7 linked regions of the Nothobranchius furzeri genome follow. The protein of the gene in region 3 binds, or shares a complex with, the protein of the main gene of each other region. Links are inferred from orthologs where the notes say so. Each region holds a gene or a part of one and is shown on either strand. Other genes may lie near its edges. The genes, in order: med4, med19a, med24, med31, med7, med25 and crsp7.

Region 1 (2,680 bases), on a different chromosome or scaffold from region 3:
TTTGTTTTTCACGGAGGTCAGCTGCGAATTCCTCTTCCGGTCAGGATCTAGGAATTGAAATAAAAAACTGAGCGTTTTTGGTTCTTTTTAAAACACAGGAAAGGTTTCTGTGTTTTAAAAAGAACCAAAATGTTATTAGAAACTAGACACAGTAACAACACACCAAAGAAACTTTGAGCGTTTCCGGGAAAAACTCACTCCTGGTCCCGGTTCCCATCGATGCTCGATGCCCAACTCTACAGTTAAGTCACTCCAATGTTTTAGTTGTTATAAAAGACAGTTTATACAGCTTATCTTGGCTTCTATTTCATCTATTTTTCAGCTGATTGTTTTAGTGTTTGTACATTTTCCATCTTTTGTTATTTAGTCTCAATGTTATTTTTCTCTTTTTATGCTAAATTTTGAAATGTTTTTGATGCTTCATCTCATTAAAAGTGCTGGATTTGTTCCGTGTAAGCATCTTTGGTCTTCTGCCATGCTACTTTTATACATGCTATATAAATAAAGATGGTATGGAACAAGACACATTCTGAAGTGTCAGTATAAAACAAAACCAGTCTTCATAAAGACCTGAACTTACGCGGCACTCAAGTGTTTTAATTCTGCTCTTTTTAACTTACCTGGTAACCGTCCTGCAGCCAGAGCATCACCTGGCAGGTGTCCGTTCACACCGTTGGATGGCAGGTTTGCCATGTGACCCAGCATCCCGCTGCGCATTTCCAGGTCGGTGGGATAAGGTCTGCGTGGATCTCCTGTCACCAACGTTTGGATGGTGTGTTAATGAAGTCAAACCTGCCCTCTACTGACAGCCAGTGGGAACTGCAGGGGCCTCCAGCTCCTACCTGGCACCCAGTTGAGTGGAGCACACACGGCGTTGCTGGCACTGATTCGGTGAGCGTATTTGATGATTTCCTCTGATGAAATGCTTCCTGCAATTAAAAACTCAAAATCAAGACAAATGAAAGAAAAACAAGAACAAGACAGACTTCATTAGTGTGTGTGTGTGTGTGTTCCATGTGTGTGTGTACGTGTGTGTGCGCGCGTGTGTGTTACGTGTGTGTGTACGTGTGTGTTTCGTGTGTGTGTGTGTGTGTGCGTGCGTGTGTGTGTTCCATGTGTGTGTGCGTGTGTGTGCCTGCGTGTTACGTGTGTGTGTGCCTGCGTGCACGTTTGTGTGTTCCGTGTGTGTGTGTGTGTGTGTGTGTGTGTGTGTGTGTGTGTGTGTGTGCGTGCGTTCCATGTGTGTGTGTGTGTGTGTGCGTGCGTTCCATGTGTGTGTGTGTGCGTGCGTGTGTGTGTTCCATGTGTGTGTGCGTGTGTGTGCATGCGTGTTACGTGTGTGTGTGTGTGCCTGCGTGCACGTTTGTGTGTTCCGTGTGTGTGTGTGTGTGTGTGTGTTCCATGTGTGTGTGCGTGTGTGTGCATGCGTGTTACGTGTGTGTGTGCCTGCGTGCACGTTTGTGTGTTCCGTGTGTGTGTGTGTGTGTGCATGCGTTCCATGTGTGTGTGTGTGTGTGTGTGTGTGCGTGCGTTCCATGTGTGTGTGTGTGTGTGTGTGTGTGTGTGTGTGTGCGTGCATGTGTGTGTTCCATGTGTGTGTGCGTGTGTGTGCATGCGTGTTACGTGTGTGTGTGTGTGTGCCTGCGTGCACGTTTGTGTGTTCCGTGTGTGTGTGTGTGTGTGTGTGTGCGTGCGTTCCATGTGTGTGTGTGTGTGTGTGTGCGTTCCATGTGTGTGTGTGTGCGTGCGTGTGTGTGTTCCGTGTGTGTGTGCATGCGTGTTACGTGTGTGTGTGCCTGCGTGCACGTTTGTGTGTTCCGTGTGTGTGTGTGCGTGCGTGCGTGTTCTGTGTGTGTGTTCCATGTGAGTGTGTTCCGTGTGTGTGTGTGTGTGTGTGTGTTCCTCACCTTTCCGGGCTTTTTCTATAGACTTAAGTTTCTCTTTTGCCTGGTAAACAGCGGTGGCCTTAAATAAAAGAACAAGGGAACCAAAAATCATTTGAGGAAAGAAAACACTCAGATTTAAAGAATGATGTGTTTGTGAGTTTCTACTAATTATTCATGTTGACCAAAACCAGCAGCGTTGGTGGAGACTTCACACAAACCCACTCTGAAGCAGCAGCTGCTCCACCCTTCTCCATGACAGCTTCATGCTTTTGTTTGGTTTGTAAATTCCCATCAGCTATTGTAAAAGTTCAGTCTTTAAGCAGTTTACAAACAAGCAGCAGCACACAGCTGCAGGAATGGAATGCAGCTCATACAGATGGTGCTAAATCATATCACCGCATTGCAATTCCTACAACAAACCTACTAGTATGTGTTCGGCCTCCTTCAGCTGCTTCTGGAGCTGCTGGATGTCGCTGTCTCTTTTCTCCACCTCCTTCTCCAGCAGCTGCATCTCCTGGTGAACCTTCCCCTGCTGCTGGGCCACCTCCATCAGCTCCTGGAACTCCGTGTCCCTCTGCACCAGCAGATCAATGATCTAGATGGGAAAAACAGATTGCAAATGTTACATCCAAATTCATATTCAAAGGATAACCAGTTAACAGCCATGGCATGTCTAATCAGCAGACTTTGCTGCATCATTATAGACACCAGTGTACCTCAGATCTTCCAGGAAAAGTGATTCCAACAATAACAATAATAGGTAGTAGTTGAAATGTAAACACTCAAAAATGAAA
Region 2 (3,147 bases), on a different chromosome or scaffold from region 3:
CATATTTTTACATCGTTTTCTTTAGCCAGTATGTACTAAAATGACCCTTAGGGTGAAAAAAATGTCACTCAGACCCCCACCGCCCCCTGTGGCCAGAATATCACACTTGCAACTTGTCCGGTCCCTGATGGACTTAGTAAAGTGGAACTGACATGCTTCTTTAGCAATGACTTTCTATGGTTTCCCTTCCTTGTGGTAAAAAAGTTATCCGTGCATCCCTAATTTACATAATAGGTCAGATGAATTTTTTTAAACAAGTGACAAAATACTATACTTTTTCAGGATTTTCTACCTGTATTTGTCATCGTTTAAGCCAGGGGTGTCAAACTGAAATTCACTCTGGGCCAAACTGGAGAAACTAGAACAAAGTCATGGGAAAATGTTTATGGATGCAAATGCTTAAAATTTTCTTTATCTTCTGATTTGTGTTGTTGAATGTTTTATATGGAAACAAACCATAGTCTTGCATTAATAGTTACTCTGGAATAACCAAAGTTTAAAATTAACAACACACGGGCAGTTAACTTTGAAATAAAACACATCAGATGGAAACTGAGCAGAAGCCACAGAGTCAAATTTGAGCGTTTTACTACACCGGAGCTCATTTGGCTCCATTTGGAGGTTGCTTTCTGCGCTTTTCACGTCGGCCACAAATAGATTACTGAGCTGTTGAAATCTTGATATTTGGGCTTCAAAGTTGGCAAATTGCTGGGTGCTAACTAAGCAGTCATTTTTTTGTTTGTCTGAGACCGAATCTGTGGTCTCCAGGTCCGCAGCCGTACCCTCCTCGAGACTGGTAGCATGGATGCTGCTGATAATGCAGCAAAGCATTCTGGGATCTGTAGTATTGGCAACATATGCACTGGCAGGTCAGTTCTCGAGGGCCAGGGTTTGACTCCAGTGGCTTAAGCTATAGTTAATCTAAACCTGCATTCTGACAGGTGCTGGGACTTCTGGGCGCTCTAATGAATTAGACTTTGAGGGCTGAGGCTGTATCTCTAAAACCAAAAGTTTAACTTTCATTGTTTCTGATTTGTTGTTTTTTTTTAGCCTCTTTAATCTCACCTGGACTCCTCACTATGGCCTGTAAATTACACGGATCCCTTTCAGCCACGCTCTTTATTTCCACTTTTATAGTGTCTCTTTTGTTGCAGGTATGATCGACTGTCCGGGCACTCAGGACGGCAGCTCTCTGCGCTCTCTGATAGATAAGCCTCCCGTTTGTGGGAACTCGTTCAGCCCGCTGACTGGTGCTCTGCTCACAGGATTCAGACTACATACAGGACCGGTACCACAACACTGATTATGCCTGATAATAAATGATCATCTTATCCCCGTTATGTAACATGTAGTGTTTTTTTTTTTTTCCAGCTTCCAGAACAGTACAGACTGATGCACATACAGCCCCCAAAGAAGAAGAGCAAACACAAACACAAGCACAATCGACCACAGGACCCCCTCCCACAAGGTCTGGTGGCGTGTTAGTGAGGTCAGCTGAAACAAGTGCTACGTGTTTTTCACCACACTGACACGTCTGTTCTGATTTTAGAAACTCCGTCAGACTCTGATCCCAAGAAAAAGAAGAAAAAGAGGGACGATGATCCTGACCGCAAGAAAAAGAAGAAAGACAAGAAAAAAAAGAAGGTGAGAAAATTTTAAACACTAATTAAGTTTCTAGCTGGGCATTAAAAAGATTTAAAATGTTGACTCGGAATAGCATTGTGACATAAGTCGCACAGCAGTTTTGTTTTTTCATCCAGTTCTCAGTATTAATGAGTACACCCCCTTTGAAGAGTACAAATTTAATCAGTAGCTCAATGAACTAAAAAAATTTTCCAGAATTTTAACAAGGCTGGGTTTTATTAAACACTTGCTTAACTCCATAACATGAAATTAAGGCTATTAATATGACTTGGATCACAAAATCTTCAGTTTTGCTAAAATTGGTTTTAGCAAAAAGGAATACACCCCTCAACAAAAACTACTACATCAAGTCTTCTAGGCATGGCATGAACAAGATGGTGACATATTGCAACATCGGGCTGCATGGTGGCACAGTTGTTGCACTGTCGCTATTTCTGCGTGGAGTTGCGTGTTCTCCCCATGCATGCTCGGGTTTCCTCCGGGTACTCCGGTTTCCCCCACAGATCACAACATGCCCTATAGGTTATAAATTGTAAGTCGCTTTGGATAAAAGCGTCTGCTAAATAAATAAACATAAACATTAACATCTATCTTTTTCCATTCTTCAAGAATAACGTGTTTTATAATCTGGATGCTGGATGGAGAGTGATGCTCAACCTTCAGAATTCCCCACAGGTGTTCAGATCAGGAGACATACTTGGCCATTCAATCACCTTCACCCTGTTCTTCTTCAGAAATGCAACAGTAGCTTTAGATGCGTTTTGGATCATTGTCGTGGTGGAAACGTGCACAATGATTCAAATTCAATTCAATTCAAAGATACTTTATTAATACCAGAGGGAAATTGATTGCTGTAGTAGCTCAGAATAATAATAATAATCAAGTCATCAAAGAGTTATTGTATATTACAATGGCTGTTGGCAGGAAGGATCTCCAGTAGCGGTCAGTGTTGCAGCCAAACTGAAGAAGCCTCTGACTGAAGACACTCTTCCGTTGTCGGACAGTCTTGTGAAGAGAATGCTCAGGGTTGTCCATCATTTTCTTGATTCTCTGGAGAATCCTTCTTTGCATTATCCCCTCCAATGATCAAGTGCATGGAGTGATGGCTGCATCTTCTCCTTCAGTATAGAACAGGACATCGTTGAGTTCATGATGCCATCAATGAAATGCAGCTCCCCAACACCAGCAGCACTCATGCAGCCCCACATAAGGACACTGCCACCACCACCACGTTTCACTGTAGGCACCATGCATTTCTCTTTGAAATCCTCACCTTTACAACGCCATAGTTTTGAAACCATTACTTCCACAAACTGTGATCTTTGTCTCATCACTCCAGAGTACAGAGTGCCAGTAGTCTTCATCTCTTTCAGCACGGGCCCTAGCAAATCCTAGGTGTGCTTTTTGTGCATGAGCTTTAGGAGAGGCTTCCTTCGTAGACAATACCCATGTATGCCATTCCTCTGCAGTGTGCGTTGTATGGTGTCATGGGAAACGGTCACT
Region 3 (3,500 bases):
CACTGATGTGTTTTTATTAAAGTAGACTTGCTGGTTTGTAATTTGGTTATTCCACATTCAGTGTTAATGCAAAAAGAAGTTTGTTTCAAAGTTAAAAGGTTCAAAATTGCATATATGTTGATAAAGAAAATGTGCAAATTTGCCGTCACTTTTTCAAAAAATAAAAAGTTTGGCCCGCGACTTCGTCCCAGATTTTCATTTCGGCCCAGTGTGAATTTGAGCTTGACTCCCTTGAAAAAGACAAACGCACAGTAATGAGATAGGTTTTGCTTTCTGTTCTACAAATGGACAGTAGAGGGTGCTAAAAGCAAGCCAAAACTGCCTAATTCCCCTTTAAGTTTTCATCATAAACTTAAAGAGACAAAACTAACGAGTGGAAATGGTGCAAAACAGCTCCTGGTGTCCAGATTCAGCGCTGTAGACACACACACCTGTGTATATTTACCTTTCATTGTTTTTTTCCTCAACAGCGAATCCCTGCTCCTCTTTTTATCTTGGAGATATGGAAGGCGTGTTTCACCGGACTCATCGAGTCACCAGAGGGCACAGAAGAGCTGAAATGGACTGCCTTTACTTTCCTCAAAGTAGGAAGATGTGATTCAAAGATCTTGACCCTGAGCCCACATCTGCTATTAATCCTTTAGTCTTTATTATGACTGCATTTAACGTGGCACAGACTTTTATTTAGCATTTTCTAGAGTTTAGTAAAGCGACATACCCCTTAACGCCTGGATTCATTTTCAATTATAAAAGTTTTTTTCACTTGTGGATTTTCTCAGGTACTTGCAGTATTTTGGTTGCATTTGGAGCAGATGTGGGTTTGATGCGAATTTGCGACAACCGGCGTTAAGGGGTTGAAGGTTGTTTTCTTGAGCTTTAGGCATCGAAAATGAATTTCGTATTATTTGCTTTAGATCCCACAAGTTCTGCTCAGACTAAAGAAGTATCCTCAGAGTGATAAAGGACAGGTACAGTATTTAACCCACTGATTTCATCATGACAAGTTCTAATTTTTGCTGTGACTAATGTTTAAACGTTTTCCAGGATTTTGTTGAGGACGTGAACGCTGCGTTTCAGTTTTTACTTAAACTCACCCCGCTGTTGGACAAAGCAGATCAGAGATGCAAGTGAGTGATTCAAACTTATTTGAGTCATCTGGTAAGACCCTGCAGACGTCTCATTCCTCCTGGTCGTTCTTCACATAGCTGTGACTGCCTCAGCATGCTTCTGCAGGAGTGCAACAAGCTGGGGCTGCTGTCAGACCCAAACACGGAGAACCTCACATCCAAACGGTATGAGTCTTTGCATGATGCAGTACGTTTCACATGAATGTGATGCAGCAGAGAACACGTTTTAAGTCTCCTTACCCCCACCCCCCTCCATCTTTCCTTCTGCACATTTCATTAAGCACCGAGGACAGAGAGTTCTCCCCAAGGCTAAAAACAGCAGAAAATGCAAACATCCAACCGAACCCAGGCCTTATCCTGAGAGCTGAGCCCACTGTCACCAATATTCTGAAGGTAACTAACCCAAACAACACCTAGAGTCATGTAACGATGTGAGCTAAGAAAATAACTTGAAGCAGAATAGTTCCTAAACTGCGAATCTCTTAAAGAAGCATCCCCCCCCCCCTTCTTTTTCTTATCAGACGGTAGATGCAGACCACTCAAAGTCACCCGAGGGTCTTCTAGGTGTTCTTGGACACATGCTGTCAGGGAAGAGCCTGGATCTGCTTCTGGCAGCGGCGGCGGCCACTGGAAAACTCAAATCGTTTGCCAGGAAATTCATCAAGTGAGTTGATATGTGATGTAACAGCAGGTGAGGACATGTTGGAGTTTTACCACCGCCGGTAATCTTGGTTTGTATTCTTCCTGCCTCTAGGCTCAATGAGTTTCCAAAGCACATCAGTGGAGAAGGATGTGAGTTGATGTTCCAGTTTTAATGACATAATATCGGTGATCTGATGTACTAACGCTGAGGATGTTCCCTTCCTAGCTAAGTCTGCTTCTGTACGAGCCCTGCTTTTTGATATTTCATTCCTCATGCTCTGCCATGTTGTGCAGACATATGGGTCTGAGGTGAGCTTGTCCAAAAACACAACTATAATATAGGGAATGTGGAGTAACATGGATTTTCATCTGAAGATCATCCAATTTTAGCAGAAAATGCTTCATTTTTCCTTTATTTCCATCTCCATAAAGGTGATCTTGTCAGACCCCAGTCCCTCAGGAGAGACACCCTTTTTTGAAACGTGGCTGCAGACGTGCATGCCTGAAGAGGGCAAGACGCTGAACCCGGACCATCCCTGCTTCAGGCCTGAGCCTGGAAAAGTGGAGAGCCTGGTGACCCTGTTGAACAACTCCTCAGAGATGAAACTAGTGTACGTTTATTTTATTTGTAGGTGCTTTCCTATTTCTAATGGAGTCTTGTTGTTTTTAAACAATCTGCGTCTGTTTTTTTAAAAGTCAAGTGAAGTGGCATGAAATCTGCCTCAGCACTCCGGCAGCTATCCTGGAAGTTCTGAATGCGTGGGAGAATGGCGTCCTCTCTGTGGAGGCTGTGCAGGTCAGTCTTCACCTAACCTCATCATGTCTGCCACCCTGAACACAGAACTGCACTTAACTGTGCCATGACTTGTCACCCTTTGTGCGTAATCTACAATGACGTCTTATTTTGCCCAACGTCTTATGCGTGCGTTTTGTTTTCATGTGACAGAATGTGGAAGGATGTCATTTGAGTCAGATCCTCTCACCTCTTTTTCCATTCTTTGCATCCTCCTCACCACGTTTCCTTCCTCTTTTCTTGCTGCGACCATGTCTGTTGAGTGTAGAAGATCACAGACAACATCAAGGGGAAGGTGTGCAGCATGGCCATCTGCGCAGTGGCCTGGCTGGTGGCCCACGTACGGATGCTGGGGAGGGACGAGAGAGAGAAACCTCAGACGATGATCCGACAGCTCGTGACTCCAAATTTTGCGGAAAACACCCTGCAGTTTTATAACGAGCGGTACAAAAATAAATGTATTCAATTCAGCACCGTGATCAGGTTATGGTGACAGCCCACATTATCTCCTTTCATCTCTCCTCAGTGTGATCATAATGAGTTCCATCATGGAGCACATGTGCGCCGATGTTTTCCAACAAACGGGTGCCGTCCTGCGGGCCCCGGTCGAGGGCCAGGAGCCAATCCCCTACCGCAACCTGCTGCCCGCTAAAGAACCAATTCATAAAGCCCTCAGTAAGCAGTTCCAGGTGGTGCTGCGCAAAGGCTGGGTGGACAGCCGGGCTCTGCATCTGTTTGAGAGCCTCCTCAACATGGGGGGGGTCTTCTGGTTCACCAACAACCTGATCAAGGTAACGAGAATGAATAAAGCATCCAATATGAGCTCAGATGGTATATAAACACCTGCTGTGTTGTTCCAGGAGCTTCTGAAAGAGACACGTCAGGAGTGGGCCACGCGGGTGGTGGAGTTGCTCTACAGCATCTTCTGTTTGGACACC
Region 4 (4,009 bases), on a different chromosome or scaffold from region 3:
CAGAAAGTGTTAACGGTTATTTTATTTTTAAAGCAAGAATGTGGATTTGAATACATGCTCATGAATTTCAATTCTGGTGTATAACTCTTATGGTATCAGTATGCTACTCTTAAATTTTAGCTTAAGCTTCATATGGTGTGGGGGGGTTGGGGTTATAAGCTTCTGTCTGTACCCATTTTTTGATTGTCTAAGTTGTGCGTTTACTTGTAAAGCCACCATTTAAGAAATCGTGTTACGATCATGTTTATTAGCTCCTGATCCGATCGTTTTCAGCAAAGCATCAAAATAAAAAAAGATAAAAAAACACTTACAAGTTGTCCTTTGTCACTTTCATTTGTTTGGGAAGTACACCGATTTAAAAACGCGTTTACATTGTGAATATATTTAAAGGTTGTTTCCTCCTTCATTATGCAGCTGGACTGATGGATGCACAATCCCGTAACGGATAAGGTAAGCGGCACCTCTGCTGATAGGCTAACTTTTAACGCACAACACCTACCTGTGCTTTGGGCTTTGGGGCTGCAGGAAACATGTTTGTATGCAATTATTTTTTCATATATTAGCGTACCTTTCTGTCAGCTGGTTCCACTTTTTTGTCCGAGTTCACTGTGAACTGGGACTGTAAGTGGCAAACTGGGAATTAATGGAGACCGGTGATTCATTTTGACACCCAAAGGGGAAAGAGAAGGTAGTTTGTTTGAAGGCAGAGAATCATGGAAACATTCTTCCAGCATGTTGAATGCCCAGTATGCACTTACTACACGTGGCTGTTGCTCTGCCTTTTCTGTCCGGTTTAAAATACCACCATGCTGCAGACGTTAGCCTGTTTGCTAACAGCTGCAGCGTGGTGTCTGAATCTCTGCCTGATGTAAGTTGTGTGATGTTAAGGTGCTGTTTTTGCATACGAAACAAAGAATATTGATGTAGAGGAACTTGTTGAAATTAAAACTAAACTGGTAGTATTCCATTGGAAATTCTTTATCTCAGAATGAATTAAAAAAAGTCACGTTTGTTGTTTTAAAAGGTTAAATTTGATTAATTTCTCCCGATCCTTTTAAAATCACGCCACTGGATCGGAGCATCCCTACTTTTCAGGAAAACCACCTTTTATTAAACAACAACAAAGCGTGTAAAAATATCCAGGACAACTGCAATGTCCTTGAAGGGGGGTTCATCATGATGAGACGTACCCCAGTGGCCCCATGTACATCTTAGAAGAAACACCGATGCAGTGTTTGACTGATCGTCACTTTAAAGAACAAGTCAACCCCTACCAGAGTCTAATAACTCCACTTCCACTTCATGTTTGAAAAATGCAACAAATGCTGTTGCCTGGCAGACCGAGAGGACGGAGCCACTAACAAATACACACACACACAGGCTCACGATAGCATTGTGACATCATAATGTACCAGTTTACATCATAGCATACCTCTTAGCCAATAGCGGTTGCAGATTTAAATTCAAATACAGTGCAGAGTTTTTACCTGACAACGGCACAACACTGCCAGTTTTAGGCAGAATATTTAAATTTTAACTAAGATGCACTGAAGTGCCAAATTATTGACGACACGTGTCTGCAGCACGATTAGACACTCGTTTATTTAGTTTATCAGCAAAAAAATAGTTGATTTGGGGGTGACTTGCTCTTTAAAGAGCAAGTCACCCCCAAATCAACTATTTTTTTTCTGATAAACTATATAAATGCGTGTCTAATTGTCCTGCAGACACGTGTAGTCAATAGTTTTGCACTTTAGTGTATTTTAGTTAAAATTTTAATTTTCTGCCTGAAACTGTCAGTGTTGTGCCGTTGTCAGGTAAAAACTCTGCACTGCATTTGAATTTAAATCTGCCACCGCTATTGGCTAAGAGGTATGCTATGATGTAAACTGGTACATTATGATGTCACAATGTCGTGAGTGTGTGTATTTGTTAGTGGCTCCACCCTCTCGGTCTGCTAGGCAACAGCATTTGTTGCATTTTTCAAACATGAAGTGGGAGTGAAGTGCGCTTCTTGTAAGGGGTGACTTGCTCTTTAAAAACAACATGAGTTCCCCGATGAGCCAAAAGTACGACCAGCTTGGTCTGCTTGTGGATCCCGGACCCTTCTTACTTGAGGAACTTGGCATATTCAGGTTCCTTCCAGTAGAGCAGGTACTTCAGGTAGTTGATGAAAGGTCTCTCCCTCAGGTAACCCCTCTGAGCCAGAACTGAAACAGAACCAGATGTTTCATTCTGTGAACGTTAGGAACCCGCTTCTCTCGCTGTGGATCAGTCACTCACAGTTCAGGTAGTTCGGGTTGGCCAGACACTGGACAAACTCCAGTTCGGACTGGAATCGGTTCCGAGCCTGTTCATCTGGACCACATAAACATCCGGCACAACAGAAAACACGTTTAGTTCACCAGACTCCACTTAAAAACCAGACACTTTATTAAAGTGCTTCTATACTTTCCTTAAAACTTGTTCGAACAACTAAAAACACTAAAAGTGGGAAAACAACACGAATTTTAAAACTAACGGCTTCGCATATTAACCAAAAATCAACGTAACTGCTGTAATAATAGTTTAAAACCGGAATGTTTGTCTCCGTTTAAAACCGAAGCTAAAACATACACTACCAACCTGTTTCCATGACAACAGGAGTCATTGACTGGGGTATAAACCTAATATTTTCAAATTTGAACACAAAACTAAGAAAGCACAAATCTTCAGAGCCTCCGTCTTTGTTTAAGTTTAACAAACGCCATCAAACGTAAGCGGACTCTTGTGACGGGAAACCGAGCGTCCTTCACGACATTCACTACAGTTTACGGCTGCTGTAGTGCTTCTTTCTGACCACTAGAGGTAGCCACAGAAATAGAAACAGAATTTATTTGAGGGCAGTTAAAGCACACATGATATAATATAATATAATATAATATAATATAATATAATATAATATAATATAATATAATATTGACCTATTTCTCCTTAGAAAAGCTGGATTAAGCAAACATTTAAAAATAAACTCATCCATTATTTAGGTGAAGAATATAACTATAAATTATAGTTCAAAACTATAGTAATTGCATAACCATTTAATGTCTATCAGACTAACTAGCTAACTAACTAACTAACTAACTAACTAACTAACTAACTAACTAACTGAGGGTCTTAACAGTGTGGTATTCCCCTATAACGGCTGCCCAGCCCTGGGGCCTCATTTATAAAGCTTGCTTACTCACAAACAGGGTCGGAAAACTGTGTAAGCAACTTTACAAGCAAACTTTGGGATTTATGAAAGAAAACTTAGCGGAAGAATGTACACAACTTTAAGATGACTAAGCACCTGGCTTACGCACATTTTGGACATGGAGAGCACCTGCAGTGCTGCTGCTGAGAAGAATAAAATTATGAAATCCTGCAGCATTATCACTTGTACTGCTTCGTTTTCACACAGAACAAGACCCCCCCACACGCACACACGCACACACACACACACACACACACACACACACACACACACACACACACACAGCCTGACGCGCAGAATACGGAATGCAGAATATCAGCAGGGGGACAGATTGAGAAGGAATGTCATGCGTCTGTGACAGTGTGTGTCCTGTTACTGTAACTCGATTTATCATGCACCCTGGCTAGTTGAATAGGGGAGATCTCCATTTGGCTGACTGGTTAGCACATGTGACTTTCACCTGGGAGTCTGGGAATCGAATCCTGATTGGACCATCTTTTTTATATCTGCCACAGATCTCTCTGAAGAATTTACAACATTGACGGCTTCAGCAACGCTGCGTCTCTCCGTGGATTTTCTCTTATTTGTTTTGCAAAAGTACTTCCTTTCATTTCTCCACCTCACCCACAGGTACCTCAACTTCTGCTTCTGTGATATTGTGCTTCCTTGATCTGCCTTGATCTACGGTCGCCATGTCATTGGATGTGATTCAAGTTCTTGTGTGAGCCTTGAGCGCAGCTTTGTTTTATTTATACTCTACAGAGAAAACTTGCT
Region 5 (3,975 bases), on a different chromosome or scaffold from region 3:
CCTCGCAGAGTCAGAAGAAGAAAAGGCAAAGTTGTGGATGATAAACTTCGTAGATGCTGTGGAGCTTCCGGCGTGAAGCTGCGGCAGGCAGTAAACCACATCCTTGTGGCAACAAATGATTTGCGCAAGCAGAAATACACACTGTTTGATGCACAAACACTGTAGATGTCTACCCTGCACATGTACTTTCACTAATGTTATAGAGAATTAACAAGTTAAGCCCAAAGCAGGACTGTGAATGCAGAAATCCAGGTTTTGGTAGTACTTTTTTAAACAATTGGGAAGATAAAATGAGTAACAAAACACAAAACATCACTGAAAAAAGTTAAGATAAAGAAATATCTCTCTTTCTCTAAATGTGTCTTTGCATTTAGGGGTTACACGTCAAAATATTGTTATTTTTCAGAGAAGTTTAGACTGTTTACAGTGAATGCAGTCCATTAAATTCTTGATTAAAGTAAAGAGTAAAAACTACTTAAGCCACATAAAAATTTACAAAACTCATCTAGGTGACAAGGAGTAAATAAATAAACGTGAGCAAACCGGTTCGGAACATTAGGAATTAAAATGCTGCTCACTATCTTTTCACAAGAGAATAATAGAATTCAGTTTGTCATTATCAACCCAATTTCTTTTTAATATCGATATCAACCCTTTTACACCGTTCTGTTTGTGGCAGGTGTTTCACATACATAAGAAATCACAATCATCTTTTTTTATTATTATTATTTTAGGATAAAATTCATAGATTTCTGCAGATTCTGAAAGAGGACAAACAGATCACAACATGCCCTATAGGTCATAAATTGTAAGTCGCTTTGGATAAAAGCGTCTGCTAAATAAACATAAAGAACAAACAATAACTGACATAGTTTGTAAAATGAGAACCCGAAGGAATTAATATACAGGTTATTGTTTTTATGTCTTTAAAATTAGTATTTTCATTCAAAAATATTCAACAGTTATCTGAATATTTTAGTAACTTTTCTTTTTCATGTATAAAATCAGTTCAGTTTGGGCATCAAACGGTACTTTTTCCATCGATCCTCTGAAGAACAAAGTAAAAGAAAAACAAATTTTTCCGTGCTTCCGGATATTTCTACCAATCAGCGTTGAGCTCTTTCTGTGACCGCACCCCAATCAGCGTTAGGAAAACAATCACGAGGACAGTTCAGCCAATAGAAATCAAACAGAAACGACTGGTCTTTTCTGCATTTATCGAAGAAGCTATGTTAGCCCTGATCTAATTTTCCAACGATATTTGATTAACGTTATTATTAGAAGTATATGTTGTGTTTCTAAAGGATTGTTCTTAAGGTGGGTATGAATACATTTACTCCCTTCTCATTTACCTTTTATGTAGTTCGCTTCATTTTTGACGTGCCCAATTAACTACCGGGATTAGCGGTGGCTATAGTTAGCTAGGTTTCTGTACAAAATGCAGCGGTGACGCTAACGTAGTTCTGCTTGTAGTGTTTGTCAATAACACATTGAGTCCGTAACAAAATAAAGGTAACACAGAAGACAAAGGTTCAATGGTTAGGTGCGTGCTAGGAGTTGAATTTGACTACTTAAATACCTAAGAACAACGTTTCAGCCAGATATTAAACCTATAATTATTAACTATGGCTAATAAAGCCTAATTTTACTTCAAACTAGATTGCAAATGTTTTACGCCAAAATGAGCAGTAGTGTGTATACTATAATTTACGTGTCATTTTAAGTTCATATCTACTTTTCCTACCAACAACAGCAGTAGGTGCAACTTAAAAACCCATCAGAATCTAGTTTTGCTTTGAATGTTTTGTGCTGGACTGGTGCTGCAACACATTAGTTTAGATTTTAGACTAACACTTTACTGGAAGTGTATGCTGATTATTGAATTTGCCCCTCCAGCCTAATGATAGAATCCTGCAGTTATTGGGAGAATGACGTTTGTCGAATTTTTAAATATATTTTATGTACAAGGATTTTGAGAATCTTTTATCGAAACTCTCAAAAAGTAAATCAAACAATAATAAATTCTTAATAAAAACATTTTATTTGTTACTGCAGTTTACATTTAACAGTATTTATTTGTACAAATGAGGGGCATTCAGGCTTTTACTACAATCTGTTATGTGTAATAGTGTATATCTTTTGATGCAGAGCTCTACACGATATGCTGTTACCTAATAAGTTATTGTGCTCATTAGGTAGCTGTAATGTATTGTGTAGTAGTAGTAATCAGCTGATAATGTCATGTTTTTCAGCTTAGCCATCAGCCACAGCTGGTTCTACATGAATGTGGAGCCGAGTTTTAATCTGAAGATGGAGATATAACTATGGTTTTGGGCTGAAATATTAAATTTAGAATAAGTTGCACTAAACTGCCACACTGATAATTGCACATGTCTACAGCACTATTAGACACTCATCTGTACAGGTTATCAGCTAAAAAAAAGTTCATTTAGGCATTTCTTGATCTTTAATAGTGCCTGGAATTCCTAATAAATGTTTTTTCTTTTTCTATACTTTCAGGTCTGCATCATGGGTGAACCACAGCAGGTCAGCGCCCTGCCTCCACCACCTATGCAGTACATTAAAGAGTACACAGATGAAAATATCCGCAAGGGTCTGGTCCCAAAGCCGCCTCCACCCATTAGAGACAGCTACATGATGTTTGGCAACCAGTTCCAGTGTGATGACCTTATCATTCGACCTCTGGAGAGCCAAGGCATCGAGAGGCTCCATCCAATGCAGTTTGACCACAAGCGGCAGCTCAAAAAACTAAACATGTCAATTCTTGTGAACTTTCTGGACTTGTTGGACATTCTCATCAAGAGTCCTGGCAGCATAAAGCGTGAAGAGAAACTGGAGGACATGAAGCTTTTGTTTGTTCACATGCATCATCTTATAAACGAGTACAGGCCACACCAAGCCAGAGAAACACTGAGAGTCATGATGGAGGTCCAGAAGAGGCAGAGACTGGAGACGGCAGAGAGGTTCCAGAAGCATCTGGACAGGGTGGTGGAGATGATCCAGGGGTGCCTTGCATCTCTACCTGATGACTTACCCCAGTCGGATGTAACAGACGGTGTGTGTGTTGGGACCAAGAGTGTGTCTGCTGGATCTAGTTTTGGTTGTTCTTCTGGACAGGCCCCCATTCTGAAAACCGAACCAATGGATGTAGAGGACACGGGCGCCAGCTGCATGGCTGCAGGTGATCAGGACAAGAATGTCCCAAGTTCAAAAACAGACAAAACATGGGACAAGGATGCTGCCATGTGTAGTATAATAGATGAGATAGCATGAAGATTTACAGCACATGCATGTTTTTACTTTTCACTCAGCATGAAATACTTTGTGTGGGATAAAAATACTATTATTTGTACATGTTCTTTTCAAATTCAACTAAATGTACTTGTAAATATTTCCTTAGCGTTTAAATCTTATACAGATCTTTGTGTTCACTGGGCTCAATAAATCTATTTGAAACCGCAGCAGGAGTTTAGTGCCGTCACAAAAACGATGATCTAATATGGTTCCACATAAACACAAAGTGCTTTTGTTAAGAATTTGTTGCTAATTCTGACGCTGTGGTTTGCTGATTATGCATTAGCGGTAGATGCGTAGATCCTTTAGCTAGTCGGCATATCAAAGAGCTTGATTCATCAGAGACCTGAGTAAAATTTAATTAAGTCATTCTGCCTTCTTTTAAAATGTAATGCAATGTAGACAAGTTTAGGGTTGGGGTGTGCTGAATTGAAAGGTGACATTTGATAGGTTTACGTCTGTCAGTCGTCTGTACATGTGATACTTTATACATACACTATTTTTCCAATAAAAATTCAAATAAAACCTATTTAATAGTGATGTGTCGGTCGCGAACGAACTGGTTCTAAGAGCCGGCTCTTTGAAGTGAACGACAGGAGCCGTCTCGTCATTGGGAGCCCTCCCCTCCCCCCTCCCCTTTTGCTTTGGTGAAAGCTGCAG
Region 6 (4,180 bases), on a different chromosome or scaffold from region 3:
GGATCTTATGCATGTACATAAGCCGGCTGTTGCAGCGCTCCGCCAATGACGATGGCGACCGTAGATCAAGGCAGATCAAAGAAGTGCTATTTCACAGAAGCAGAAACTGAGGTACCTGTGGGTGAGGTGGAGAAATGAAAGAAAGCGCTTTTGCAAAACAAATAAGAGGAAATCCATGGAGTGGCACAGCGTTGCTGAAGCCGTCAATGTTGTGAGTTCTTCAGAGAGAAATGGGGCAGATATAAAAAAAAATGGTCCAATTGGGATTCGATCCCCAGACTCCCGGGTGAAAGTCACGCACGCTAACCAGTCAGCAAAACAGAGATCTCCCTTGCCTAAGTAGCCAGGGCACATCATCAATTGGGTCACAGTGACAGGACACACACTGTCACAGACGCATGACATTCTGTCTCAATCTGTCCCCCTGCTGATGTTCTGCATTCCGTATTCTGCGCTTCAAGCTGTGTGTGTGTGTGTTTTTGTGTGTGTGTGCGCACGCGCGTGTGTGTGTGGGTGTGCGCGCGTGTATGTGTGCGCTCGCGTGTATGTGTGTGGGGGGGTTCTTGTTCTGTGTGAAAACGAAGCAGTACAAGTGATAATGCTGCAGGATTTCATAATTGTATCCTGCTCAGCAGCAGCACTGCAGGTGCTCTCCATGTCCAACATTTGTGTAAGCCAGGTCCTTATCCAACTTAAAGTTGCTCACATTTTTCTGCTAAATTTTCTTTTATAAATCCCAAAGTTTGCATGGAAAGTTGCTTACGCAGTTTTCTGACCCCGTGTTATAAGCAAGCTTGATAAATGAGGCTCCAGAGGCTTAAAAAACTCCAGGTGGATCTCCTCTCCATTCAGATCCTTGCCACCAAGGAGCTTTTCATGTTATACACACCCATACACACACACATACACACACACACACACACACACACACACACACACACACACACACACACACACACACACACACACACATACATACACACACACATTGAGTTTACTACATTTGAAAATAATCATAAACTGGGTGTGAGAATGGTAATACGTTCATAAAATAACTTTGAGTTGTTCTGGGACTTTGATCTCACCACCATCAGTGGTCTTTCTGCAGAACTGGGCTCTTTTCTCATGAAAGAGCAGTTTCAGTCTAAAATGAAGCCACAAACAAAACTATAGTTGTGTAAACATTTTACAAAGTAATAGGTAAAATCAAAATGAAAAGGTATTACATTTAGGACACATGTTTTCTCTCCTGAAAAGAATCTGTGTGAATGAGGTTTGGTGATAATTACTTAGAACAGAAGGGGGCAGCACCGCGCTGTTCAGCCTCCTGTCTGCAGAACGAAAATGGCGAAGAAGATGTTTTTAGTGGCGGTCGAGGGTCGTGGCGTCACTTCCGTAGAAAATTACCTAAACACGGTGATGTTAGCTGCTCTGTTGTGTTTATATTTGGTTTAGGTTCGTTTTGTTTCTCATTTAAAGCCTCCGCTGGTCGCAGAACACCATCAGGTCAGTTCTTATCTGCTGCTGACCAGATTCTATGTGAAGCTTGTTGGAACTTTTGGTAAAAATCGCACTTTTCTTGCTAATGCTAATAATGATGTTCATGTTGTGTCTTCGTGATGATGAGCAGGTCTTATTCACACCTGACTCTAGCGTTCAGCTAAGATGAACAAAGTTCTAATCTGCTGTAGGATTTACGTTAAATCATAACTTTTCTTATTTCCAGAGTGGGGCTTTTCTTAACCCTGCAGTGTTTACTTTAGACACTACAGGATGTTTTATACACTTAGCCGCCTATATGTAAAAACAGCAGGCTGTCTCTTATGTGGAAATAACTATGGGATTCAAAGTCCATTTTGCAGGATGACTGTACTAAATAGAAAGCGGTTTCTCTGTTTTTTCCACCTAGACTTGATGTTAGAAGCTTCACAGATAATCCCTCATACGATTGTGCGAAATATAAGGTTATTTATAATAACTTAATACCCAACCCTTTTTCTTATCTTCTGAAATCGTCTTTCCCTTCTTCAGGTTGTTTGGTTTTCTTTTAGAAGTTTTTCCTGTACTTTTGTTGCTTTTTAGTCGTTTGTATCCAGTTTATGCTCTTGATCATAACAGTGTTTTGTCTAACATGCATGAAAAAGTAAGGAATACCATCAAGTGGAAGATGAAGAGAAGTGTCAGATCTCCAGTGGAGGAACAGTTTCTGAAAGTCATCCCTCTATAAAAATATCGAAATCCGTACATGTGGAAGGTCCCTCGGATGATCATTTACTGTATGAGAGCTGCACAGTAGCAGAAATTAAAACATGTATATAGCAGGTTATTATTGAGATTCAAGCAGATCTTTGCTTTACTGACCATATATTTGCTATGTACAGAACAGTTCTATGCCGTATCACATCTTTATAGCTCCTACCTCTTTGGGAACCACCTTGTTGGTGTTGAAATAACACTTTTTGTCTGACTGTTATTTTTGGTGTTTTTCTTAGGTAAAAACACAAAAGAAGCCGCATGTAACAGCAAGCCAAAACAGATTTAGTTTGTTTTCTATGTTCTGTTAATGTCTTGTACCGGTTCAGGGCAAACCAAATAAAAATCATTCTTCTGTTATGGTCCTATGCCGGACAGAAACGTAGCAGAAAAGAAGCCAAAGTCTTAAGAAAACAAGAAAGTTTGGCTGCTTGAAAGCAAAATATGAGGAAATGAAGTTGGACTTGGAACGTTAGCATCCCACTACTTTCCCCATTTAATTATTAAAGTGTACACATGTATGGTTCAGCTCTGTATTCTATCAAGTTGCTGGAATTTGTTTAGATTTCTTCAAAAGCCTTAATAATTTGGTTCATTCCATGATGAGATCATCTTAATGTCCAGATCAGCGTTCATGGAGCCTTCCAGTAAACCTGGTTTCAACCAGGTGGCTGATGTGGTGTTCGTCATCGAAGGAACAGCCAACCTCGGACCGTACTTTGAATCCTTAAGGAAAAACTATATACTTCCAGCAATTGAGTAAGAATTCCTTAAAGGTAAAGGCTGTTAGTCTGTGTCTGCTTTTGGTTAGTTATGGAATAATATTTTTGTTTATTTTATCCGTCATAGATATTTCAACGGAGGGCCTCCAGCAGAAACAGATTTTGGTGGAGATGTGAGTGGTATTTTTATATTGTTTTTGCTGTGAGTTTGGGAGGTATTGTTGTTCAAAAACCAAAAAGACCCTCTGTTCTCTGTTTTTATAGTATGGAGGAACCCAGTACGGCCTTGTGGTGTTTAACACGGTTGAGTGCGCTCCTGAATCCTACGTCCAGTGTCACGCACCAACTAGTTCTGCCTTTGAGTTTGTCTCATGGATCGACAAAATCCAGTAATGCTTTGGGAATAGCTGCAAAGTTCTTAATGCTTAATATCCATTTTTTAATTGAAAACATGATTGTAATTTACTTTTCTTTCTGCCAGGTTTATGGGGGGTGGAGCAGAGAGCTGCAGCCTGATTGCTGAAGGGCTCTCTGTGGCTTTGCAGCTTTTTGACGACTTTAAAAAGATGAGAGAACAAATGTAAACGAGCATTTCGATTTTGATTTGCTGAAAAGAATTTGTCATAATAGTTTGTCGTAATACTTTTCTTAGTTTAGTCAAATTAGAACTAGGATTATGAAATTTCATGTGGAACACAAAAAAAATTTCTTTAATCATTATTTCTGATTATAATTGGTCATTCTGAGTTTTTCATGCTGGCTGAACATGACAACAGTCTCCTACACCTATCTCCTGCATTAGCTTCTGATATAAAATAGACGGTGAAACTCTAGGATTGGAAAATCCACACAGATCTACATCACACTGTCACTTAATGGGCTCGACACACGGGAGGCGACAAACGACCGCGATCAGCGAAATTTGTTGCTGTCGCTTTTATTACCTGACACACGGGAGGCGGCCAGCGCCAAAGTCGTCTACGCGTTCTGTTTCATGGCGAAATCTAAACTTGCGTTGTTTTGCTTGGCTGTGTCAGGTTGGAGGGAATTAAGGTTATTTAATCTGTTCAGAGTTAATAAAGCGATAGATATGATGTTTCACAAGTTACTGTTAGAGTTATGTGAAATCTTACTTGTGATTTTACTATATAAAACATAATCAACTTCTCCTCCATGTTTGCTCGGAGGAGTTTACGGAGTATCCT
Region 7 (4,145 bases), on a different chromosome or scaffold from region 3:
TGTGTATTCTGTCCAGGTCCTCATCCGTCACCTCCCGACTCACACCTGGTAAATCTCCTGTTAAATGGTCCGTCTGCAAAACGTGTGTTTTATTTGAGTCTTTAGTCTCCCTTTCTTCCCTTTTTAGATATTCTGACATGAAGAAGTGTGCGCTAGGGGCCTGGACCCCCGAGGAGGTGAGCACGTTGCTCTGAAGGTTCAAGTAGGATTGGATTATTTCATTTCTAGTCAGCTCCTTCCAGTTGGTCTGGTGGAAGGGGTTTGAGCTGGGACCTGGGGCGGGGGCTGCACAAGGGGGCTGTTGGACAACGACTTCAGTTCTCTGCCTGGACTCTCCCAGGTCCGGAGTGGGGGGGTCCTCTGTTGGAGAAAGTTCTTTATGCACCAGAGGTTTGATCTGACCAGTGACCGGGTCAAATGTCAGTCTGCGTTCTTTTAACCGCACAGGTTTAGTCGTGTCCTCTAGTTTCAGGCCATCCAAGTTAACGGAGTAGTCTCTAGGCCTGTACTTCCTCCTTTTATGCTCAGAGTTAAGGACTGGCCCATCAGGGTCATCAGACACACTTAAGCTTCTTTCAACCACCAACCTGTGGACCTCTGAGTTCTGCGGGGGAGGCGGGGGGGAGGGGGAATCCAGTGTTGCAGATAGATCTTGGGGAGAGCAATGAGAGAATACCTCTGATGAATTAGCAGAGGGCACTGAAGACCGAAGAGAAGAAAGTTTTTCACTGTGAGACACCGGTGCTGGGGAGGACAGAGGCTGGGAGAAGAACAGGGGGGAGTCTCTAGAAGATGGGCTGGGGACCGGCGTTCCCTTTGCTACGTACGCTGAACGCTTAGAAACGGGGTCTTGCTTTAGGCTCCTGGGACTGGAAGTGAGACTGCGGGGACTCCTCGCTGGGTAATAGCCCCCGCCCCCTTCTTCCAGTTTAGCTTGCTGTTGCATCACAGCAACTTTAATCAACGAGGAAGTGCTAGGTGCTTTGGCCATGCCAGGGGAGCTGGGACGGGGCTTGACAGCATTAACTGGAATTCTGTTTCCTTTGTCATTTTCAAGGTGGTCTGTCCGAGGCCTGTCAGGAGAAGGAACGACCTCCTGGTCGGCCAACGCATCGGCACCACCAGCAGTCCCGTTGGTGGGTGGCGGAGAAACAGAGTCATCAAACGCCGACAACCTGGAGATTTTTTCTGTTACGTACACGCCACTGTCTCTGTGCTCTGCCCGCCGCTTGCGGTTACTTGACTTCTCAGCCTTAGGCGAGTATGTGTTGTGAGCATCACTTCGGATTGTGACTTCTGTGACCGCTTTCCCCGATACAGAAATGTCAGGGGGAGAGGGATCGGTTTTGCAGGGATGGGAACTGCCATTGGTAGACCCCGGGACACTTGCTGAAACAGCCGGCCCAGGTTCAATCAGTTTTTGCCAGTTTCTCAGGAGTTTCTTTGCACGCCTTGCAAGGTCTTCATCCTTGGTTTTCCTCCTTACATCATTAATCAGTTTTCCAAGTCGAGTTTCCTGAAAATAAATAATTAAAAAGTGAAAACTATTTTGGCACCACAGCCTCTGTAGGCATTAACCGCCTATGACACGTTCATTCTTACCTCAAGTGCTTCTTTGGTAATCGGATACTTCTCAAGACAAGCGATCACTTCCAATACAACCACCATGTTGCATATCTGCAACAAGGACATGCCAGCAGTTAGTAACCCCCAGCTTCTACTGGTGGCAGTAATATTTAGATTTACAGCTGTAGTCTGTGGATGAAAATGTAATCACACTGGACAATCCCACCCAATCACATTCCCACAGTAACAGGAACTCCAGAGATCTGGACTAACTGCTCCCTGACTCCGGGGTGGAAAACAACATGTTCATCGGGAGAAACTCAGCTGGATGTTTAGCTCCAGAAACCGAACGATGTTGCAAAGCTGATGTGGCACAGAGACACTCAAAAATACCTGGAATCATCTCAGCAAAGGTTTATGAACTTGGAGCAAACCGAGCATCTTGTCGACAGCGTCAGCCCTAGCCCGAGTCGGTGGACCTGCCTGTGTTAGCTAGTCAGGGTAGTTAGCATTTAACTTACTTTAGAAGGAAGGAGCATTTCCTCAACGCTATTCCAGCCACTTGGTTCCCTAAACTTTGTGATTGTTTAAATAAAACATTTTCACTAAAACTGTGCTGTTTGGGATAACTTAAACTTTTCTTTAGATGAGATGATTTCGTAAAACAACGACTGGATTGCTCCTTTATACCAAATCTGCTTTGGTGTTAAGCTACGTTAGCAGCTAACAGGCTACATAACGGCAGATATCCGTCCAATCAACGCAGCGCTGCTGCTAAATTAGCTGGCATGCTAGCTGTCAACTCGCCCCGAGCCTTTTTGTCACCGAGACATCCGACGTGTCGAGGCCGAGCGCACCTTTCAGCGTAGTTTGTATAAACAGCGACGTGCCACCCGAACAGCTGCGTGGATGTTGATAGGCAAACAAGCTAGCGTTAGCTTTAGCATTGCTCACATTGCTCTGACTGTCAATGGCCTGCAGCAGCCGGTCCTTCATCTGCTGCGGGGTTGCTGAGACCGTTGTCATTGCCTGTTCGGTGCGATCCAGGAGATGGAGGGAGGAATCCTCCAAAACGAAAGCCGGGTGACTCAGAAGCCGCTTCGGGAACACGTCGGGCGCCCGAGCAGCATGCTTTCTGTCGCATGTAGGTCTGAGTTGATCTCACATGGAGTCGGAAATATGTGAGCGGAGCGGAGTCGCTGCTGCCTCGGACCTCCTCTCACTACCAACTGCTGGATGCCTCAACGGCCTCCTGCTGCATGCTGGGATACGATGTGTCTACGTCATCACGTTCGTACGTAACCAAGTAAACATCCCGACCACAGTGACGTTTTTAAATATAAACTTTGTGAGTTGTTTTTCAGTAAATATTTGATTGACCGATTTTATATGAAACGTTTAAATTAAATTAAATTCAAGTTTATTTATGCAGCAACTTGGTGGACTGAATGACGGACTGACAGTTATGAAAAACCTGTTTATTACAGATGATACATGTTTGTGATTATAAAAATAACAGATCTAAGACAGATGCTAAAGCACATTGTGATTTCCTACGGACCTGTGAAAAGGACAGCTTTTGAGAGCTTCTGGCTCATGCTGTCACACTGAAAGCTACGAGTGGCTAATCTTGCAAGGTGGTGCATCCTCAGCTTAAAGAACAGGGAGACAACAGATGTCAACAGTGTACGGGAGTGACACTCAGTTCCGTACGGTGTCTCACTGATGAGCTCCCCGAGCAAAAACACATCCTCTGACCCGATCCTCTTGTGCACGATGTAGATGACCTCCAGTGGTTTGATGGGCTGTGATCGTCTGCCCACTGATGCCTGGCGAATTGCCCACTCTGCTGCTCTGATGACCCTCACAGCACCTTCAGATGGGACCACAAGACCCCGTTGTTCTGCAGAGACAGCAAATGTAGCTCTGGTCATCACAGGCAGATGCAGCATCATCACCAGGCTGGCACGGCAGACATCACAGGACAGCTTGGTCATGGCTCGCCGCACAACAAATCCTGAAATTACAATTACTAATGTAACTGGACAGTGTGCTTGTCTTCATACTTTACATAAGCCTATAGAACAACACGGTGTCAGGTGAGAAATCAGACAAGAACTACAGTTTGTCTACCTAAAGTAATCATGATTAGTAAGTGTGGCATTAATTCCTTGTATTTATTAATCAGGGGGATTTGATGAGCCAGCAGTTTTTCTAAAGACTACAAACATCTTTTGTGTTTTTCTTCTGACCGCTTTTTTAGGTTCTTTTTGAAACACGGGGAAGGTTTTTTACCTGCTGACACTTTTGATTGTGTCTGCGATCTTCCTCAGAGCTGACCCCACTGAGCGTTTTTTTTACACTATCTGAATGAATAATAGTTCAAAAGCAAAGCAGATGACAGAGACTTATCAGCCTAACACAGTTGAATGTTTGTTATTGTTAAATCGTATGAATGACACGTTGCCGTGACTGAAGACATCGTCTATTAGAGCATCCATAAGAAGCACAAAAGTCAGGCATGCTTGTTGTGTTTCACGCGTATTTCGTGTCCCATTGATCATTTTTCCTTGACCACA

What was found.
Region 1: med24 (region 3) and med4 share a complex: the UniProt entries of both Homo sapiens proteins name them as parts of the mediator complex. The link is inferred for Nothobranchius furzeri from reciprocal best matches to the Homo sapiens genes MED24 and MED4.
Region 2: med24 (region 3) and med19a share a complex: the UniProt entries of both Homo sapiens proteins name them as parts of the mediator complex. The link is inferred for Nothobranchius furzeri from reciprocal best matches to the Homo sapiens genes MED24 and MED19.
Region 4: med24 (region 3) and med31 share a complex: the UniProt entries of both Homo sapiens proteins name them as parts of the mediator complex. The link is inferred for Nothobranchius furzeri from reciprocal best matches to the Homo sapiens genes MED24 and MED31.
Region 5: med24 (region 3) and med7 share a complex: the UniProt entries of both Homo sapiens proteins name them as parts of the mediator complex. The link is inferred for Nothobranchius furzeri from reciprocal best matches to the Homo sapiens genes MED24 and MED7.
Region 6: med24 (region 3) and med25 share a complex: the UniProt entries of both Homo sapiens proteins name them as parts of the mediator complex. The link is inferred for Nothobranchius furzeri from reciprocal best matches to the Homo sapiens genes MED24 and MED25.
Region 7: med24 (region 3) and crsp7 share a complex: the UniProt entries of both Homo sapiens proteins name them as parts of the mediator complex. The link is inferred for Nothobranchius furzeri from reciprocal best matches to the Homo sapiens genes MED24 and MED26.

The regions. Positions count from the first base shown.
Region 1 is NC_091754.1:35,370,361-35,373,040, reverse strand, and holds part of med4 (mediator of RNA polymerase II transcription subunit 4), read right to left. Parts: intron 2,482-2,680; coding exon 2,311-2,481; intron 1,966-2,310; coding exon 1,908-1,965; intron 930-1,907; coding exon 843-929; intron 753-842; coding exon 621-752; intron 1-620. UniProt on the Homo sapiens protein: Component of the Mediator complex, a coactivator involved in the regulated transcription of nearly all RNA polymerase II-dependent genes.
Region 2 is NC_091741.1:91,561,880-91,565,026, forward strand, and holds part of med19a (mediator of RNA polymerase II transcription subunit 19-A), read left to right. Parts: intron 1-1,154; coding exon 1,155-1,288; intron 1,289-1,371; coding exon 1,372-1,468; intron 1,469-1,549; coding exon 1,550-1,644; intron 1,645-3,147. UniProt on the Homo sapiens protein: Component of the Mediator complex, a coactivator involved in the regulated transcription of nearly all RNA polymerase II-dependent genes.
Region 3 is NC_091756.1:31,522,625-31,526,124, reverse strand, and holds part of med24 (mediator of RNA polymerase II transcription subunit 24), read left to right. Parts: intron 1-470; coding exon 471-584; intron 585-914; coding exon 915-968; intron 969-1,044; coding exon 1,045-1,127; intron 1,128-1,205; coding exon 1,206-1,292; intron 1,293-1,408; coding exon 1,409-1,520; intron 1,521-1,648; coding exon 1,649-1,791; intron 1,792-1,881; coding exon 1,882-1,919; intron 1,920-1,995; coding exon 1,996-2,078; intron 2,079-2,201; coding exon 2,202-2,380; intron 2,381-2,465; coding exon 2,466-2,565; intron 2,566-2,830; coding exon 2,831-3,006; intron 3,007-3,088; coding exon 3,089-3,353; intron 3,354-3,422; coding exon 3,423-3,500. UniProt on the Homo sapiens protein: Component of the Mediator complex, a coactivator involved in the regulated transcription of nearly all RNA polymerase II-dependent genes.
Region 4 is NC_091750.1:26,556,666-26,560,674, forward strand, and holds the start of med31 (mediator of RNA polymerase II transcription subunit 31), read right to left. Parts: upstream 2,801-4,009; 5' UTR 2,651-2,800; coding exon 2,626-2,650; intron 2,359-2,625; coding exon 2,284-2,358; intron 2,211-2,283; coding exon 2,114-2,210; intron 1-2,113. UniProt on the Homo sapiens protein: Component of the Mediator complex, a coactivator involved in the regulated transcription of nearly all RNA polymerase II-dependent genes.
Region 5 is NC_091742.1:50,786,542-50,790,516, forward strand, and holds med7 (mediator of RNA polymerase II transcription subunit 7), read left to right. Parts: upstream 1-1,175; 5' UTR 1,176-1,317; intron 1,318-2,520; 5' UTR 2,521-2,529; coding exon 2,530-3,294; 3' UTR 3,295-3,844; downstream 3,845-3,975. UniProt on the Homo sapiens protein: Component of the Mediator complex, a coactivator involved in the regulated transcription of nearly all RNA polymerase II-dependent genes.
Region 6 is NC_091745.1:8,284,234-8,288,413, reverse strand, and holds the start of med25 (mediator of RNA polymerase II transcription subunit 25), read left to right. Parts: upstream 1-1,380; 5' UTR 1,381-1,506; intron 1,507-1,540; exon of another isoform or gene 1,541-1,561; intron 1,562-2,877; 5' UTR 2,878-2,887; coding exon 2,888-3,012; exon of another isoform or gene 3,013-3,029; intron 3,030-3,102; coding exon 3,103-3,148; intron 3,149-3,239; coding exon 3,240-3,364; intron 3,365-3,456; coding exon 3,457-3,555; intron 3,556-4,180. UniProt on the Homo sapiens protein: Component of the Mediator complex, a coactivator involved in the regulated transcription of nearly all RNA polymerase II-dependent genes.
Region 7 is NC_091751.1:71,980,944-71,985,088, reverse strand, and holds the start of crsp7 (mediator of RNA polymerase II transcription subunit 26), read right to left. Parts: upstream 2,801-4,145; 5' UTR 2,593-2,800; coding exon 2,521-2,592; exon of another isoform or gene 2,424-2,520; intron 1,678-2,423; coding exon 1,603-1,677; intron 1,517-1,602; coding exon 1-1,516. UniProt on the Homo sapiens protein: Component of the Mediator complex, a coactivator involved in the regulated transcription of nearly all RNA polymerase II-dependent genes.